Linked DNA regions of Macaca fascicularis. The protein of the gene in region 2 binds, or shares a complex with, the protein of the main gene of each other region. Links are inferred from orthologs where the notes say so. Each region holds a gene or a part of one and is shown on either strand. Other genes may lie near its edges.

Region 1 (3,850 bases), on a different chromosome or scaffold from region 2:
TATCCATCTCTTGTCCACTGACCTCTCCATTTATCCATCCATCTGTTGTCCACTGACCTCTCCATCTGTCCGTCTTCCATCCAGGCCTCCATTCATCCCCCATCTAGTCATCCTCCATCCCTTCACTAGACATCCCCTCCTGCCCCACCCACCCATTCACTAGACACCAAAATCTGATGACTAATTATTTGCAGATGGACCCCTGGGGGCGTGTGTCACAAATGTACATCCCCAGGTCCCATGGTCAGAGTCGGCAGGTCTGAGTGGGGCCCAGGAAGCTGCATTTTCAAAAGACTCTAAAATAGAATCAGACATGGCTGCTGTGTAGAGTTGCCCTTCACCGTCGCCTGGTGGAGGAGCAGGGCCCACGGGGTCGCTGTGTTCCCAGCGCGTTCCTGACGACACCGTAACGCCTCTTCCTCCCTCTCTCGCCAGTTGCTTACATTTCCTCATCCCGGAAACATGACAGCATTAAAGACGACTCTGAGGTGAGTCTGCGGAGCAGCTCGCTACCTTTCCAGCGTCCTCTTGGAAGTCTGTGAGCCTGCCTCTGGGGCAGTCACATAAATCTGGATGTGAAATATACGGTCCGGGATGTTGCTAATCTTTACGGGTGTGGGTGTCTAGAAAGAAGCCCTTGTTCTTGGGTCTTATTTCAGGCACATCCTTGGTGATTCCCTGGAGGCAGCTGTCCCAGCGGGTGGTCTGGGGACCACACCCTGGGGGGAAGCCGCGCCCCACATCCTCTCCACCCAGGCAGTACAGTGGCCCAGGGGCTGGCTTTTGAGCTGTAATTTTTATCAAGTTGTGTCTGCACCACGGCCTTCCTTTCGTTGCCTCGTTTGGCCGTCCTGGCAAACCCCTCTAATGCCTTTTCACGTCCTTCCCCAACTCAAGCGAAGAGGCTCAACTGAGCCTCGCGTCTGTGGCCAGCTCTGCACCACAAACCCTGAGAAGGGAACAGAAGAGCTTGCTGTGTTCTCAGCCTCTGCTCGTAAAACCCAAGAAAGGGCTGCGCTGGCAAAGCCCACACCTTTCCAGAGCAGCGGCACATACCACCCTCACAACTCGTGCTCCTTCCTGGCCGTCCTGTGTCTGGAGGGAGGCTGGGTCACTTAGAAAGCAGAATCCAAAGCCGGGCACGGTGGCTCACACCTCCAATCCCAGCATTTTGGGAGGCTGGGCCGGGCAGATCACTTGAGTCCAGAAGCTTGAGAACAGCCTGGGCAGCGTAGTGAAACCCTATTCCTGCAAAAATAAATACAAAATAATTAGCTGGGCATGGTGGCATGGGCCTGTGGTCCCAGCTGCTTGGGAGGCTGAGGTGGGAGGATCGCCTGAGCTTGGGAGGTGGAGGCTGCAGTGAGCCGAGATTGCGCCACTGCACTCCAGCCTGGGTGGCAGAGGAAGACCCTGTCTCAAAAAAAGCAGAATCCATTCTGCTGCACAGAACAGCACCTCCTAGCGAACTACCTCCTCCACCCCGACATCCTTGCCTGGTGTAGCTTGCAGGAGGCCGAGGCTTCTCTTTTTCCTCGGAGCGCCTTTCTTCTGTATATTTCTAATAATTATTTCTAATAATGTGTGCTTGCCGGTTTGGGAGCTCTTGGCAGGCATTAGCTACGTTTGCTTTACCTTCCTTCCCCGAGGGAGGGCCCTGATGGGGAAGGATGGGCCCAGGCCCTGGGCCGCATGTCCCAGTGGCCACCTCTTCAGCCCGACTGGTAGGGCTGAAGGCCTGGGGGTCCCTCCCACTGGCAGCTGTGACCAGAGCCATGGTCTGTGGAAACGAGCAGCTTCCGACTTTCTAGCACCTTCCTCAGAAGCACAGCCTGAAGTTCTCACCTTTTGTGCCCCGGTTTAGATGGGAGTGTGGGGGTGGGATCTGTGGGACGCAGAGCTGAGACTGGGATCGTGAGGCTCTAGGCTCTGAGGAGCAGATCTCTGTTGGGACCGCATGAGTGATGCGTGGTCCTCTGAATCTCCCGGGACCCCTCTCCCCTCACTTTCTGGGGTCTTGTTCTCCCTTCCTAGGACCTTAAGCCAGTTATCGATGGGATGGATGGAATCAAAATCTCTCAGGGGCTCGGGCTGCAGGACTTCGACCTAATCAGAGTCATAGGGCGCGGGAGCTACGCCAAGGTTCTCCTGGTGCGGTTGAAGAAGAATGACCAAATTTACGCCATGAAAGTGGTGAAGAAAGAGCTGGTGCATGACGACGAGGTAGGTGCCACTTCTCACGGCGCTCGGGGTCCCGGGAACGCACCGCCCTGGGGCCGCCACCTGGGGAAGAGGGCATTAGAAGGCCATAATGAATGCTCCAGGCTTTAGCAAAATTAATCCAGGCATGAGAGTCCTGGCCTCGTATTGATGGAGTTTGCGCAAAATCAATAGTGATGCGTCGCGTAACAACCGGGACGTGTTCTGGAAAGTGCCTGGTCAGGTGATGGCACCGTTGTGTGAATGTCACAACGCGTGCTCCACAAACCCAAACGGCGCAGCCAACTCCGCGGCCAGGATGCACAGTGCAGCTCCTGCTCTCAGGCTGCCGGCCCGCACGGCTGTCCGTGCACTGCACACCGCAGGCAGTGAGCGGACCACCGCAGAGAGCACTCGTGTCTAAGCTTTGAAAAGGTGAAGATGGGTATCGTCTCCGCGACCTTCGCGTGTGTGGCCAACCACTGATACGTCGCCTTCCAGCAGACTGCGGTTGAGCTTGAGGACGTCGTCACCCTTGTTAGGAAATCCCTGGGGTTGAGCTGAACCGGGCGGGTGATGGGGTAGGACAGGAAGCTGCCCAGAGGCACTGCCTCACTCCGTCCTGCACAAGGCCCCAGCTTTGAGGGACGTGCTGAACTGCCGCGGCTCTGTGTAGCAGATCTTCCCACACCAGCTGTTTCTGGGGGAGAAGTTTATTGATTATAGGATCAATGGTTTATTTGTTGAAATCTTTTTTTTTTTGGAAATAGGTTCTTAAACAGGGTCTTACTCTGTCACCCAGGCTGGAGTGACTTGATCACAGCCCATGTAGCCTCAAACTCCCCAGCTCAGGTGATCCTCCCACTTCAGCCTCCAGAGTGTTGGGACTACAGGCATGAGCCACCACCCCCAGCTGTATAATTTTGTATTTTCTGTAGAGGCAGTGTCTCACTCTGTCACCCAGGCTGGAGTGCAGAGCATGATCACAGCTCACCTCCTGCAGCCTCCACCTCCTCCTGCAGCCTCCACCTCTTGCTGGGCTGAGGTGATCTTCCCACTTCAGCCTCCAGAGGAGCCAGGGCTACAGGCGTGCACCACCATGCCCGGCTATTTTTTGTGTTTTTTGTAGAGACGGGGTTCAACTATGTTGCCCAGGCTGGTTTCGAATTCCTGCACTCATGCACTCTGCCCCACTCAGCCTGCTGGAGTGCTGGGATTACAGGCATGAGTCACTGCTCTTGGCCTATTTGTTGAAATCTTGATTCTGACTTCATACACCTTTTTGTTTTAATTATAGTAAAATACACATGGCATAGAATTTGACATTTTAAAATGTACAGTTAGGGCCAGGCATGGTGGCTCACACCTATAATCCCAGCACTTTGGGAGGCCAAGACGGGTGGATTACCTGAGGTCAGGAGTTCAAGACCAGCCTGACCAATATATGGTGAAAACCCAACTATACTAAAAATACAAAAATTAGCCAGGTGTGGTGGCGCACACCTCTAATCCCAGCTACCCAACTATACTAAAAATACAAAAATTAGCCAGGTGTGGTGGCACACACCTCTAATCCCAGCTACCCAACTATACTAAAAATACAAAAATTAGCCAGGTGTGGTGGCGCACACCTCTAATCCCAGCTACCCAA
Region 2 (4,363 bases):
CCATAACTAAGACAAAATGAGCTTCAGTTACGTTCCCTAACTCGGATCACGTTCCTTCAGAACTTCTCAAGCCCGCATGTCACTCATTGCGGAGTCGGAGCCTTCCTCGGGGTTCAGGCGTCTGCGTTAAGCGCGGGCACACCGTGGGGATTCCCGCGTGAGCTTTCTCCGCGGCGTCAGAATAGGCTGTTCACGGATTCGCGTTAGGATTGCTTATGCTGCAGAACTTGAAAGAAATAAATGTATCAGAATTGCGATGTTTACGGTCTAATCTATTTAAGTGGGTGGGTCAGCGGAGGGTCAACAGGAAACTTCAAGGTAAACAGTGACCTCTGAAAAACGCCCGGTCGCTCACAGCTTCCCCACTGCCTCCCCAGAGCAGACTATTAATTCTTGCGTTTCAGGCAGAACTGCCGCTGCCCGACCCTGCAGCCGAGCTAGGGAGCGGGCAGGGCAGAAACCCAGCGGAGCAAGCCGCAGGCTCGAGTCCCCGAGGGCAGAGAGGCTCGGGCTGGAGCCTCCGGGGCGATGAGGAGGGGACTCGCCGCGCTGAGCAAAAACTGCCTTCCCCGGGAGCGCCTGCACCCGAAACCCTCCAGTCCAAGGAAGGGGATTAAAAGTGACAAAGGAAAGGGAAGGGGGGGGGGCTCCGTGGAGACCTCTGGAGGCGTGGAAGGGGCGTCCCCGAGGAGGGGCGAGCGCAGCCCTGCAGGGAGCTGGGCGGGCGGGGTGAAGGGGGCTGGGGGGCGCCCGGGCCACGGTTGGTGGGGGCAGATGGCCGCCTGCCCGGGTTGGCGGTGGGACCAGGGGTCCCAAGCCTCCGGAGGGAGGGAGGGAGGGACGGAAGGAGGCCGGCCCCGGAGGGCGGTGGCGGGGGCGCGGGCTGCGGTCGTGCGCTCCGCCCCGCGCGGGTAGCCGGCCGCGCCTCCCCCTGCCGCATGTGCGCGGTGTTGTGTGCCCGGCCCTGCTCCTCCCCCTCCCCTCCCCTCGCGCCGTCCCCTCCCCCAGCGGCCCCGAGCGAGCGCCAGCGCCACACAGCCCCGGGCCGCCGCCGGCGAGCGCGCCGAGACGCCGAACAGGTGGCCGGAGGCTGCGGGCGCCGCGGCGGGGAGAGGCGAGGCGAGCCCCGGGCGAGGCGAGGGTGGCCGGGCCGGACCGGGCATGCGAGCTGAGCGGCCCCCCGGCGTCGCCGCCGCCTGCCCTCGCCCCTAGCCGCCCGCGCGTCCAAGTCCCCCGCGGCTCCTCCGCGCCCAGCGTCCCTGGTCCCGGCCCCGGCCCCGGCTGCTCCGGCTGCGCTCGGCGAGGGGCGCGGGCCCGCCCGCGGCGGCGGCGGCATGAAAGTGACCGTGTGCTTCGGACGGACCCGGGTGGTCGTGCCGTGCGGGGACGGCCACATGAAAGTTTTCAGCCTCATCCAGCAGGCGGTGACCCGCTACCGGAAGGCCATCGCCAAGGTGAGGGGCCGGGGGCGCGGGCGGGGAGGGGGCGGCGGCGGGGACGGCGCCGGGATCAATATGGCGCTTCCTGGAAGGGGGAGGAGAGGCGCAGGGAGGCGGGGAAAGGGAAAGTGCGGCCGGGCCGGCCTCGCGGGCGCCCCCCGCCCCGGGCTGCGGGCGCCAAAGTTGTCAGCGCTGGCCGGGTCGCAGCCTCGGGGGCACCCAGCCGGGTCCCGCGGCCCCCGCCCTCCCCTTCCCCATCCCCCTTTCCCCGGGAGCTCCGGCCTCAGGAGCGCGGGGCGAGCCGGGCAGCGGCGCACAGGCCGGCCCTGGGCGCTTCCCCGTAGTCTGTAGAGCTAGCCAAGCCCCGAGCCGGCGCGCAGGGGCGCGGGCCGGGAAATCCAGCCCCAGGCCTCTCCCGGCTCCCAGGCCCCGCGGGCACAGGCCGGGGACTGGGAACTTTTGGTGTGAGGAGAGTTTCGTGACTGCCCTCCCGACGGAGGCGGGCTGCGAGCCTTCTGTCTCCTCTCCCTTCCTCGGGCGGGGGCGGGACCGCGGCGGGGGGTCTTTTCCTCCTTGTCCCCCGCGAGCAGGGGCGGGCAGGGGCGCGCGTCCGGGGGCTGCAGGGTTTGGGGAGTAGCCGGCTTGGGATCGGGGAGGCGTTCCCGGGAGGGCCACCGGTGGCACTCAGCACTCGCTTGCGAGCATTTACTGAGCTGATCCCCCTTACTGGGCTCTGGAAAGCACAACCTTGAAACGGTCGCGGAAAGAAAAGTTTTCCTGCGAGGACCTCAGCTCCTACCTATCCTGGGCTGCTTCCATGTGGCTGGGCTGCGGAGCCGGGCCTGACTTCAGAGTTGAGTGGATTTCCCTTTTTCTTGCTGTAGTGATAACATTGTCTCCACTTCACAGCATTCCTCTACTATGTGTCAGAAGTGAAAAGGCATTTTGCTAAATTGTTTTACCGACTGTGTCTGTGTTTGACAACAGCCCACGCTGAAGTTTCTCCCAAGCACCCGGGGATATTTCCTTTGTAGTAGAGTCCTCTTTGGTGGGGAGTGCATTCACTTCGGTGCAGTATTTCCCATTTGTTCCCGACAGTGGCCTGGCCCCTATGGGCTTGGGGGCTGCAGATGACGTTGGAAAGTGGCTTGGTCAGCCCTATTTAGCGTACACAGGGTACTCCGGTGGCATCTTCAGTTCTCTCAGAAATTAAAAATAAAAAGCTTTTTAGACTGCTGTTTTGCTTTTAGTATACACTGGAAAAAGTAGCATAAATTTGGGCTTTTAAAGATAATTTTGGGGGACGTTTAGGAACCCGGCACAAGGATGGAAGACATTGGCTTTAATAGCTCTGTTATGTTCCTTACAGTTGGTTGAACTCTTTTATTGAAAATCAAATAAAATTAGTGGGAATTGGACACCTGTTTATCTTGCAAAGCTGACAAAGGGAAAGAAAACCATCTCAATGGGCATTTAGCTTTTTTAAGTGTTGTTTATGTGTGACAGTTTATGCTTTAAGTGTTCCGAAAGAGTACTCAAATTGTTCAGGCACTCTGGAAACCAACAAAATACTTTGTGCAAGGAAAGAGAAATAAAGTAATATGCACTCTGCAGTATGTCTAGGCTCCTGAATAGGGAGAGGGTGATCGACATTTTCTTTCACTTTATTAATTTTATGTGATTAAAATTGTTTTACCTACTGTGTCCCATGTTTCATCGTGCACAAAATAGACATAGGCTGAACTGCCTATTTGACAGTAGTTCAAATGTTGTTTGAGGCATTCGTTCCACAGAAATTTTGAAGCTTTGACTGTGTTCACAGCACTGTTCTGGGTGCTGGACATCTAGGGGACCCACTGGCTGTGAGAGGCTGAGCAAGAGGCTGCGCAGTCCTCCAGGTGAAGGGGCTGGTGGTGACATGGGGAGAAGAGGGGCCTCTGGGATGCTGGGTGGCTAAAGCGCAGGGCCTTGGTCACAGACCTGGTCCTTGTTATTAACAATTAGCAGTGGTTGTTTCACAGGGCATAGAAAAGGGAGTGCAGTTTTCTTACGGGTGTCTGGGGAGGTGTCACAAAGAGAAAAGGGGGCCTGTGAGCTGAAGGAAGGGAGGGTGATAGTGACATGGGAGTTGGAGATGAGAGGGCGGGTCAGAGATGGGTCAGGGGTTCCAACACTGACATGCTCTTTAAGTACAACTTAGAGTTCAGTGGGTGAATTTTAACGGGGGCTTTGCAGTATACCAAGTTCAATCATTGGATCCCAAGACTGTTGACCCTCATGTTGCCAGAGCTTGAGTGTCTTCTAGGTCTCCTTTTTCTCGTTTTTATTCTGAAATTGCTAGACAATGATTGAGATTAATTTTCAGTCTTTCTTACTACTTTTCCCATTCTATATTAAGTGATGAGGAAGTGATATTATGTATTTAACACTGTTTTAACTTTTATTCTCTGTTCCTTACCGGTATTGCCTAATAGAACAAGAGAAATTCTGTATGAAGAATTGGGTGGCTGGATAGTTGTGGAGTGGTGTTTAGGTTGCTAGGTGACATGTGGTGTGATGAACTCCCATCTGGTGGGGAAAAATGTGGGCAGATCATGTTTATGGCTTTGTATAATAACCAACCAAGCCAAAAATAAAAAATAAAAAGGAAAAGAGAAAGATCCCAACTCTCAAATCACCAAGGCTTTCTCTGCAGTAAACATTTTCTGGTGTGGTGGGGCTAATTTTCTGGCATTGCATCTGGGCTGTTTTCTCTTCAGGTTACACAAATCAATTTTTCTGGATAGTGAAATGTCATGATTTAATACTAGACATGTCCTCAGTGAGTAGATATTTGAAGGCTTGCGCTTAGTCATGTGTGACATTTCTTTTTTCCTTTCATGAAAGATGTTTTTGTGGTTGTGATCACTGATGAGTGGGAATAG
Region 3 (4,397 bases), about 61 Mb from region 2:
AAATCTGTCTCCCAGACAGCATTTAATTATTTTCTTCAGAGGCTTTTTTTTCAAAGTTACATAAACATTTAATTTTTTGTTCCTATATATTTGGATGACTGCTAATAGTAGTCCAAATGCTAATAGTAGACTGCTTTGGAAGTCACAAAAGAATTTTTTCCATAATTATCTTCTGGGCAAGCGGGTTTAGCCTTAGTAACATTTTTATCTTCCAGTTTAGCCTTAGTAACATTTTCAATTAATGCCAACTTCAAAATTTGCAAATACTGTTTTAAAATAATATTACTGACTTAACAGAAAACTAAATTTTGGGAGGCTACTTCTTCAGTAAGTTTTATATTCATTTCAAAACAAAAACTTGGGCAAAATTAACTGTGCACATGTATATGCAGCTAACATAATCCAAGGGAATAAAACCTCTCCCGATATAAACGTTGTCTTAAAAAAAAATCTTCCCCACAATTTTTAGCAGGACATATAGACACTGCAGTGTCACGCTACCTTTAGACAAAATGCAACTGATACTTGCTAAGAAATAATTTTTATTAAAAATACTTTGCTAGTACTTATGCAATTACATAATTTTAACTAAATATTGTCCACTGCCACAATTCGCATTACCAAACTCATATTACCAAATTTTAGGCCTTGATAGAGCCTAAATGCTTCAGTCACTTCAGACCAATAACTTCTGTTTTCACATACCTTATACACTGGCCTACCAATAGCTCTCAATTCCTGTCAATACTTTCCATTCTGCAAAATGAGGGCCCCATCCCCATCCCTAATCAAAACCAGTCTGTTGTACCTGAAACTGCAAAGATTCATGCTTTTCGATGACCACTAACTTTTGAAGCCCGAAGGCCTAACTTTTAGACAACTAAAGCTATACACTGTTAAAATTCTTGGGCTTCTGTCTTATTCAACAAGCTGACTCAGTAAATTTAATACACTGTATGAAAAAAGCTAACATACCTACAATCTAAAGCTGGAGTAAACTTCTCTTGCCAGCATTTCTGGATATTAGCTGGTAAAATTCACTTGACATTCTACACAAATCAGTGAAATTAACAGTACCAAAAGATGTCAGAGAACCTGAAATCTAAAAACGGTGAGCAGCAATTCTGGCATCACAATACTTAAATTTCAAGCATGAACTGAAGTTTTATCTTTGCAATCTTCACTTGCCACACACAATACCCTTGAACCTACACATTGTCATCTGGGATCAAAAACTACTCAATATCCATTCCATGTTTATGACAAGAGCACTGAACATTAAACGCTACTGAAGTGCAAATTTCAAGCCCTATCCTACATCATCCCATAGGGAGAGAAAAAGGTAAATATAACAAAGATCTAGTAAGAACGCCTTATAAGGTATATTATGGCATTATTGATTTCAAACTACAAAACTTCTAAATACAGTCCAAAGTTGTAACTTAAGTGTAAAACATTAACAAAACTACTTTTTGCACTCAATGTGCACCATATATACTGAAAATTATTCTGCTTCTAAAGTTATGCAAATCAGTCATATTTTAAAAGAATCTATCAATGCAACCCAGGAAACTAAAACAATCACTGCAAGATTCTGATGCAATATGCATACGTGCAACACTAATTTTCATTTTATTCTGATCTAAACCCTTGATCTAGGGCCTAAGCCAAGATTTAATCGAAATATGCTCAACCTCAAAGCGTCTACTTTTTTGTTCATTTAGGAGACCGGATTACCGAGCTCTCTAATCCACTAACAGCATACTGTATTCTGTATTAACGGACAATAGCCCTCAGGAAGAGACCGTATAGACAGCCTAAGCAAGCAATCGGTGCCTCGACACTTGCAACCAGGCAAGAGTTCTGTCTAGCCGAACACACCCTAGGTTGAATACAAGAAAAGAAACACAAAATATATGACCTAGCAACCCGACCAGGGTTAAATGTTATAGTCGCCCAAACTAGGGACATTTTCGCATCCGTCTACTCCCACGTTCTAAGAGAGTGACAGAAAGGCAAAGAGGAGCAGCCGCAGAAATGGATACAGGTCAAGTCTAAGTCGAATCCATCCTCTTGATATCTCCTTTTGTTTCTGCTAACGATCTCTTTGATGATGGCTGTCATGTCTGGGAGCCTGTGGCTGAAGAAAAAGGAGGAGAGAGATGGCAGAAGCTGCTGGTGGCGGGGCTTCTTCTGCAGGATGGAAATGGCTCTGGACTTGGCGGTAGCTGATGCCCCTCGCTCTGCCGCCGCTTGGCTCTGGACCGCAGCCGGGTAATGGCTGCTGCGGCGGCTGCTGGATGGTTGCAGCGACTGGGCCTGCTTCTCCTCAGCAGCCAGAGGCCTGGCAGCAGCGGCAGCGGAATGGGGAGAAGACGAATAATCCTCGGAACGGCTGCCTCCTCCGGCGGCCTCCGGAGCCCGGGCCACGGGGGGTGCGGCGGCGGCGGAGGGGAGGTTTAAAACCGGCCCGGGTCCCTGGATGTGCCGCCGCCGCCGCCGCCGTGTTGGAGGCAGTAGAAGGGGAGAGACCAACTCTCCGGCGTTCCCAGCCCTGGAAATGGTGACAGGCGACTCAGACCCCCTCCCTGGAGCTGCAGCCGCCGCGGCCGCCGCGGCCGCCGCTTCTCCCCCCCGCTCCAGGAGCGGGAGGTGCCGCCGCCGCCGCCGCGCCTCAGCCGGCTCCCGCCCGAGCCCACGGCTTCCACCTTCCCCTTCAAGAGAAGCCGAGGAAGCGGCTGCACGGTTAGAAAAGACGAAGAGGAGGCGAGAAACGCCGCCGCTGCCGCCGCCGCAGGCCGGCCGGCTCCCCGAGGGCGCTGCCCCCGCGGCTGCTCACAGGCGCTGAGAGGGGCTCCGGGCCGCGGCCGCCGCCGTCTCTCATCTCCCTCGCCTGAGCCCGGCCTCGCCTCACAGCGGCTCAACTCTCAAACTTCCATCATGGCTGCAGCTTCCGAGAGGAGAGAACTGAGCGCAGCCGCGTCCCGGCGCCCGAGCGCGTATCCTGCCGCAGTGCATAAAGAGTCCCGCCACATCACCGCCCGCCGGCCTGCCCGCCCCCTCCGCCGCCGCGCCGGGAGCCCGGGCTCCTCGGGAGACCGAGGGGAGGCGGGAGCTGAACGAGAGGCGGACTGGACCGTGCCGGGCGAGGGGAGGGCAGGGCAGGGGGCGGTAGGCGGGGACAGAAGCGGTAGCTCCGGGTGCGAGCGCAAAGCCCCCAAGCCGTAGGCTCTACTGAGCATGCCCAGTGTGGCTGCCTAGAGCTCGCTCGGGCCGGTTCCGAGCCGCCAGCCTGCAACTGCACTTGCCGCGGCTGCTTTTGCAGCAGCGCGAGGCGAGGATAACGAGCTAAGCCTCGGCCTCTGCCCAGAAACCCAGCCGGAGGCAGGGTAGGCTGTTGCGGGGCGGGGGTGGAGGACTGATGATGAAAGCTGAGATGGGTGCGTTGAGCAGTGTCACTGACTCGAGTCTCAGGTTACCTGTGCACAGGTGGAAAGGACCAGGTGACCACGCTGGTCAGTATACAGGGAAATGCAGGGACGGTCCTTGCAAGGGTAATACCCTCCCCCCTGCCTCTGCCCCTGGATTTCCGCGGCGTGGACTGCATTCGCTCTTTTGCATCGCTGTCGATCACAGTCGTTCGCAGAGATTTGACTGTAGCAGCCTTTGCCTAGAGATTCCTCCTTTCCCCAACCCTGTGTCCTCAGGATGTCAGTCTTAGCACAAAGAGCAACCTGCTATTGTGTTTCCAGCGTGCATCACCTCATCCGGCTCCCTTGTAGCGCCCCACCTCTCGCTTCCCCGGTAACTCGGCTTGTTTGCCCTAAAAATGAAAGCTCTCAGCCGAGCGTGCTGAACGTGAACACATCGCCGTTGAATTTCCAGAGCCCAAAGGGCACCTATCTAAATGAACTGAAAGAGGATCCCCGTGAGTAGGACGCACCCCGCAGCCCTCTCCTGCGCCCGCTCCGGTGCCCCTAGGAGACTAGAGCATCTCTCCCCCTCGGGCTCCAAGTCAGTTCGCCGCGTCGGACTCAAGCTCGGTTCTTAGAGACCACCTAGCCCCGCCCCCCCTTGGCCTCCGTGAAAACCCGGCGGGATGGATCGCCCGGGGCCAGGCTCCACGCGCCCCGGCCAGACCATGCACGTTCGGGGTTACCAGGTTGAGTGGAAAGTACGGAACGGTAGGAAGCTGCAGCCCAGCGAGTGGGCGGGGCAAGGAGACCTAGGAGGGTTCAAAAGGGGGTGGAAGGATACACGGGCCACAGTCGGAACTACTTTCCGAAGGAGGTCACGTGTGTTCCTAGTTGGGGAACTTTCCAAATTCCCACTCCCCAGTGATAGCTCCGGAGGCAAGTACTCTTCTTTTGCTCGGGGTGTTCTCGCCTGGTGCAGGC
Region 4 (3,850 bases), on a different chromosome or scaffold from region 2:
CTAAAGCAAAACCAAAAAAATACCCTATGACTTATAAATGAAAATAAAGAAACCAAGTCAATCTCTTAAATAAACTCTTGGATCAAAGGAGAAACAAAAATTATAATTACAGGCTATTTAGAATAGAATGGCCATGAAAAGAGTAGTCCTAAAACTTAGGAGATGAGGCCAAAATGTAAGAACATATTTTGTCCTTAATAAGAAGACTTAATACCCTTGAAAGATTAGCTATACCAAAATTAATATATAAACACTAATGTTTATAATATACAAACATTAGAATTCTAATGTTTTAAAAAAACCTGGCTACAAAATTTTAAATTTCACAAAAGAAAAAATGAGAGTTGACAAAAAATTATGTCAAATAAAAAAGCAACAAGGGAACAACTTTTATGTATATCTAAGGTCTAGTGTAAAGCTATATGGTTTGGATCTATGTCCCCCCCACCGAATCTCATGTCGAAATGTAATTCCCAGTGTTGGAGGTGGGCCCTGGTAGGAAGTGGATAGATGGGGCAGAGTTCTCATGAATGGATTAGCACCATCCCCTAGGTTCTGTTCTCATGATAGTGAGTTATCATGAGATCAGGTTGTTGAAAAGTGTGTAACAACTCCCTTCCCACTCCTGTTCTGGCCATGTAAGACATGCCTACTTTCCCAGGATTGTAAGTTTCCTGAGGCCTCCCAAGAAGCAGAAGCCACTATACTTCCTGTATAGCCTGTGGAAATGTGAACCAATTAAACCTCTTTTCTTTATAAATTACCCAGTCTTAACTATTTCTTTATAGGAGAATGGACTTATACAAGCTAGTAGAATAAAATAGAATGGCTTTGCTATAGAACAATAGATAGGACAGAGAATTAGAAGTAGATTCAGGTATATACAGAGAACTTAGTATATAACAAAGGTGGGAAAATGATAACTTATTATTATAATATTTAGTAAATGGTGCTGGCAAAATCTGCTATTCATCTGCAATAAAATTAAATTTAATTGAATTTATACTTACTATTGCATATTATATGGCTCTAAAAAGTATCTGTTGGAACAATATCATTTTTTTTCTAAATATTGTAAAAGAGAAATTTAGTTAAGATAGAAGAGCAAATATCGATGAAATGAGCATGACATGATCCAAAAAAAATTTAAAACAATCAAACACCAAAAGCAAACAGACAACAACAAACCCACCACAAATGCATCCATATATTTGTGTGGTCATGAAAAGAAAGGAGCAATAGGACCAGGTCAGGCCACGAACATGAGTTATCTGACAGTGGGGGTTATCAATGTTTTCTTGGTAGATCTTTGTGTTGTTTCACCGTATGAAATGAACACTTCTTACTTTTGTGGTTTGGGGGAGATAGATTCAAGAATACAGTTTTAATGTCTCTGGTGTGTCATCTGATTGGTTGCTCTCTTGACTGTCAGATCTTACCACATAGGACTGGTGAGAGCTGTGGTGCAGAGAACAAGCCTTCAAGGCGGGACAGAGGACAAGTAGCTCTGGATGCCCAGGACCATGCTAGGTGGGGGAGCCTGCGCAGGTCAAGATGCCAGGCTGCCAAGTGCAAGAGGTTGGGCTTCTTATCTTGCCTCTGTCACTTTCCCCGTAAGTGCCAGGAGAAGCCAGTTCCCCTCTGTGAGTCCTGGCCGCAGACCAGCAGGCATAGGCACATCCAGGCCGGATTGTCCTCATCATCCTCATCGACAATGCTTACCCAATGCCCTTACCCAATGCTATGCCTAGCCGCGTCGGGGTCCATGGCCAGCACTGTGCCAATCAGAGGCTTCTTCTGGTTTTCTTTCAGCTGGAAGTGGTAGAAAGGCTGCTGGAAGATGGGGGGCTCGTCCACATCTGTGATGTTTATGATGACCTGGGCTCTGTTTCCGGCGGGAGGGCTCAGGTATCGGAGGTCGATGGTGGGATCTGTGGCCTCGACAATGAAACTATATTGTTGGATGTATTCGTAATCCAGAGGCTGCATAAGAAAAAAGGATGGTGAGTGCCTGCTCTGGGCCAAGCATGTGGGTGGCACATGATCTGCACAGCAACTGTGCAAGGTAGTACCAGGACGACACCCATTTTATAGATGAGGGGCCCATGGCCTTGACAAGTGATATTTCTGAGGTCATCAAGAGAGCAGCTGGGCCTAATGTCTGTCTTCAGCTGCTCCCCATTTCGTCTCAGCAGCCTCATGGCCACACCCACAACCCTGGCTCTTTGCCTGGCTCTGTTTCCAGCGTTTGGGACATGCAATGGATCAACTATGGTCCTACTCTTACGGGCATCACTAGTGGTTCTACCCACAGGTCCTTAAGGACAGGCTTTTTCTTTGTTTTTGAGACAGAGTCTCACTCTTGGTGCCAGATCGGAGCGCAATGGTGCGATCTTGGCTCACTGCAACTTCTGCCTCCCAGGTTCAAGCGATTCTCTTACCTCAGCCTTCTAAGTAGCTGGGATTACAGGCACCTGCCACCACGCCCAGCTAATTTTGGTATTTTAAATAGAGACAGGATTTCACCATATTGGCCAGGCTGGTCTCAAACTCCTGACCTCAGGTGATCCACCTGCCTTGGCCTCCCAAAGTGCTGGGATTACAGGCGTGAGCCACCAGGCCCGGTCAGACATGCTTTTTCTTTATACCTTTGCTCAAGATGCTTCTCCTGCCCTTGCCTGCCTAGAAAACTCCTACTCATCCCTCAGGAAGCCAAACAGAAGGTAATCAGATGCTCTCTCAGAAACCCCTCCCAGCAGAGGTAATTGCTCCCTGTTCAGAGCTGCTGTGTATCACTTACACCTGGCTATACTTTTTTTGTTCATGCATATGTCTTCCCCATTTGCTGACACTGGAGGCTGTGTCTGCCTCTCCTTGATGTTTCCAGGCCCCAGCATGGGGCTGGGTCAGAGAAGGACTCAGGCCCAGGACTTGCAGTCCTCTGCATGGCCATTCCAGAGGCATTTTTTAATGCCCCCCACAGGTCCTCTCCCTCCTCTTCCAGATTCAGTTGATCTGGCTTCTCTGACTGTCAGCAGCATCCATTGTCAGTGGCCATCCATTTCATCACAATTACTCACTGTTTTCTTCATGCTGATGGATTTCTACTGGCCAGGACACAGGGCAGGCCAGAAAGTGCCAGAGAGGTAAAACCTCCAGGAGCAGTCCTGTCAACGCTACAGGAAGTGGGTGTATAAATACCCCAGCTCCCTCACCCTCAGCTGCTGCAACTCTGAGATATTTTCCACACTGACCCCCCAAAAGGGTCATTGCTCCTGGGGCTTCCTGGGGTCACCTCCCAGATAAATGATTTATACCCAATCTTTGCCTTAAGATCTGCTTCCCGAGTAACTTGCCCTAAGACACTGGATCACAGTCTCCACGAACACATGACCAGCTGGGAGCTTTGATGGTCCTTTGATGGTCTCTGGCCCAAGAGCAACCCCCAGGCAGGACCTGTGGGTGCCAAGAGCCCCAAGCCCCATGTTTGATGTTGTTACCATTGGCCTACAAACCTTCATGGGCTTGATGATGCCCTCGTTGTGGGTGGGGTTTGTCTCAATGGTGAAAGCATCCTGGTAGTCGCCCCGCAAGATGCTATACTTGGTCATCCGGTTCTGGGGCTCATCTGGGTCTTCAACAAACAGAGAGCCCACAGAGGTGCCCACACGGGTGTCCTCAGGCACGACAAATGTGTACTTGGCTGATGCAAACAGAGTACCCGAAAGGGCATTGGGTTAATGAGATAGACAAGGCGATTGTCTCTTTCAGATCTATTCTAACATATTTTGAGACAAGAAATGGGCATAATAAAATAATAATAAATAATAATATCCCTGGGATTCTCAAG

The links.
Region 1: PARD3 (region 2) and PRKCZ share a complex: the UniProt entries of both Homo sapiens proteins name them as parts of the par polarity complex. The link is inferred for Macaca fascicularis from reciprocal best matches to the Homo sapiens genes PARD3 and PRKCZ.
Region 3: the proteins of PARD3 (region 2) and PTEN are in contact, whole or in part, in an NMR structure (PDB 2K20), measured with the Rattus norvegicus proteins. The link is inferred for Macaca fascicularis from reciprocal best matches to the Homo sapiens genes PARD3 and PTEN. Residues at the interface, in NP_112514.1 of Rattus norvegicus: Ala599, Gly600, Leu601, Gly602, Val603, Ser604, Val605, Lys606, Gly607, Asn608, Arg609, Ser610, Lys611, His614, Lys622, Ile625, Met659, Leu662, Arg663, Met666; in NP_113794.1 of Rattus norvegicus: Asp393, Glu394, Asp395, Ser398, Gln399, Ile400, Thr401, Lys402, Val403.
Region 4: the proteins of PARD3 (region 2) and CDH5 are in contact, whole or in part, in an NMR structure (PDB 2KOH), measured with the Mus musculus proteins. The link is inferred for Macaca fascicularis from reciprocal best matches to the Homo sapiens genes PARD3 and CDH5. Residues at the interface, in NP_296369.2 of Mus musculus: Ala599, Gly600, Leu601, Gly602, Val603, Ser604, Val605, Lys606, Gly607, Arg609, Lys611, Lys622, Ile625, Asn655, Gln656, Met659, Arg663, Met666; in NP_033998.2 of Mus musculus: Tyr774, Gly775, Asp777, Gln779, Glu780, Glu781, Leu782, Ile783, Ile784.

The regions. Positions count from the first base shown.
Region 1 is NC_088375.1:232,633,140-232,636,989, reverse strand, and holds part of PRKCZ (protein kinase C zeta type), read left to right. Parts: intron 1-435; coding exon 436-488; intron 489-2,034; coding exon 2,035-2,223; intron 2,224-3,850. UniProt on the Homo sapiens protein: Calcium- and diacylglycerol-independent serine/threonine-protein kinase that functions in phosphatidylinositol 3-kinase (PI3K) pathway and mitogen-activated protein (MAP) kinase cascade, and is involved in NF-kappa-B activation, mitogenic signaling, cell proliferation, cell polarity, inflammatory response and maintenance of long-term potentiation (LTP).
Region 2 is NC_088383.1:35,575,101-35,579,463, reverse strand, and holds the start of PARD3 (partitioning defective 3 homolog), read left to right. Parts: upstream 1-1,237; 5' UTR 1,238-1,334; coding exon 1,335-1,454; intron 1,455-2,238; exon of another isoform or gene 2,239-2,374; intron 2,375-4,363. UniProt on the Homo sapiens protein: Adapter protein involved in asymmetrical cell division and cell polarization processes. Seems to play a central role in the formation of epithelial tight junctions. Targets the phosphatase PTEN to cell junctions.
Region 3 is NC_088383.1:96,734,414-96,738,810, reverse strand, and holds the start of PTEN (phosphatidylinositol 3,4,5-trisphosphate 3-phosphatase and dual-specificity protein phosphatase PTEN), read right to left. Parts: upstream 2,970-4,397; 5' UTR 2,125-2,969; coding exon 2,046-2,124; intron 1-2,045. Other genes in the region: KLLN (killin), read left to right, coding at 4,100-4,397. UniProt on the Homo sapiens protein: Dual-specificity protein phosphatase, dephosphorylating tyrosine-, serine- and threonine-phosphorylated proteins.
Region 4 is NC_088394.1:62,396,644-62,400,493, reverse strand, and holds part of CDH5 (cadherin-5), read right to left. Parts: intron 3,704-3,850; coding exon 3,516-3,703; intron 1,984-3,515; coding exon 1,736-1,983; intron 1-1,735. UniProt on the Homo sapiens protein: Cadherins are calcium-dependent cell adhesion proteins. They preferentially interact with themselves in a homophilic manner in connecting cells; cadherins may thus contribute to the sorting of heterogeneous cell types.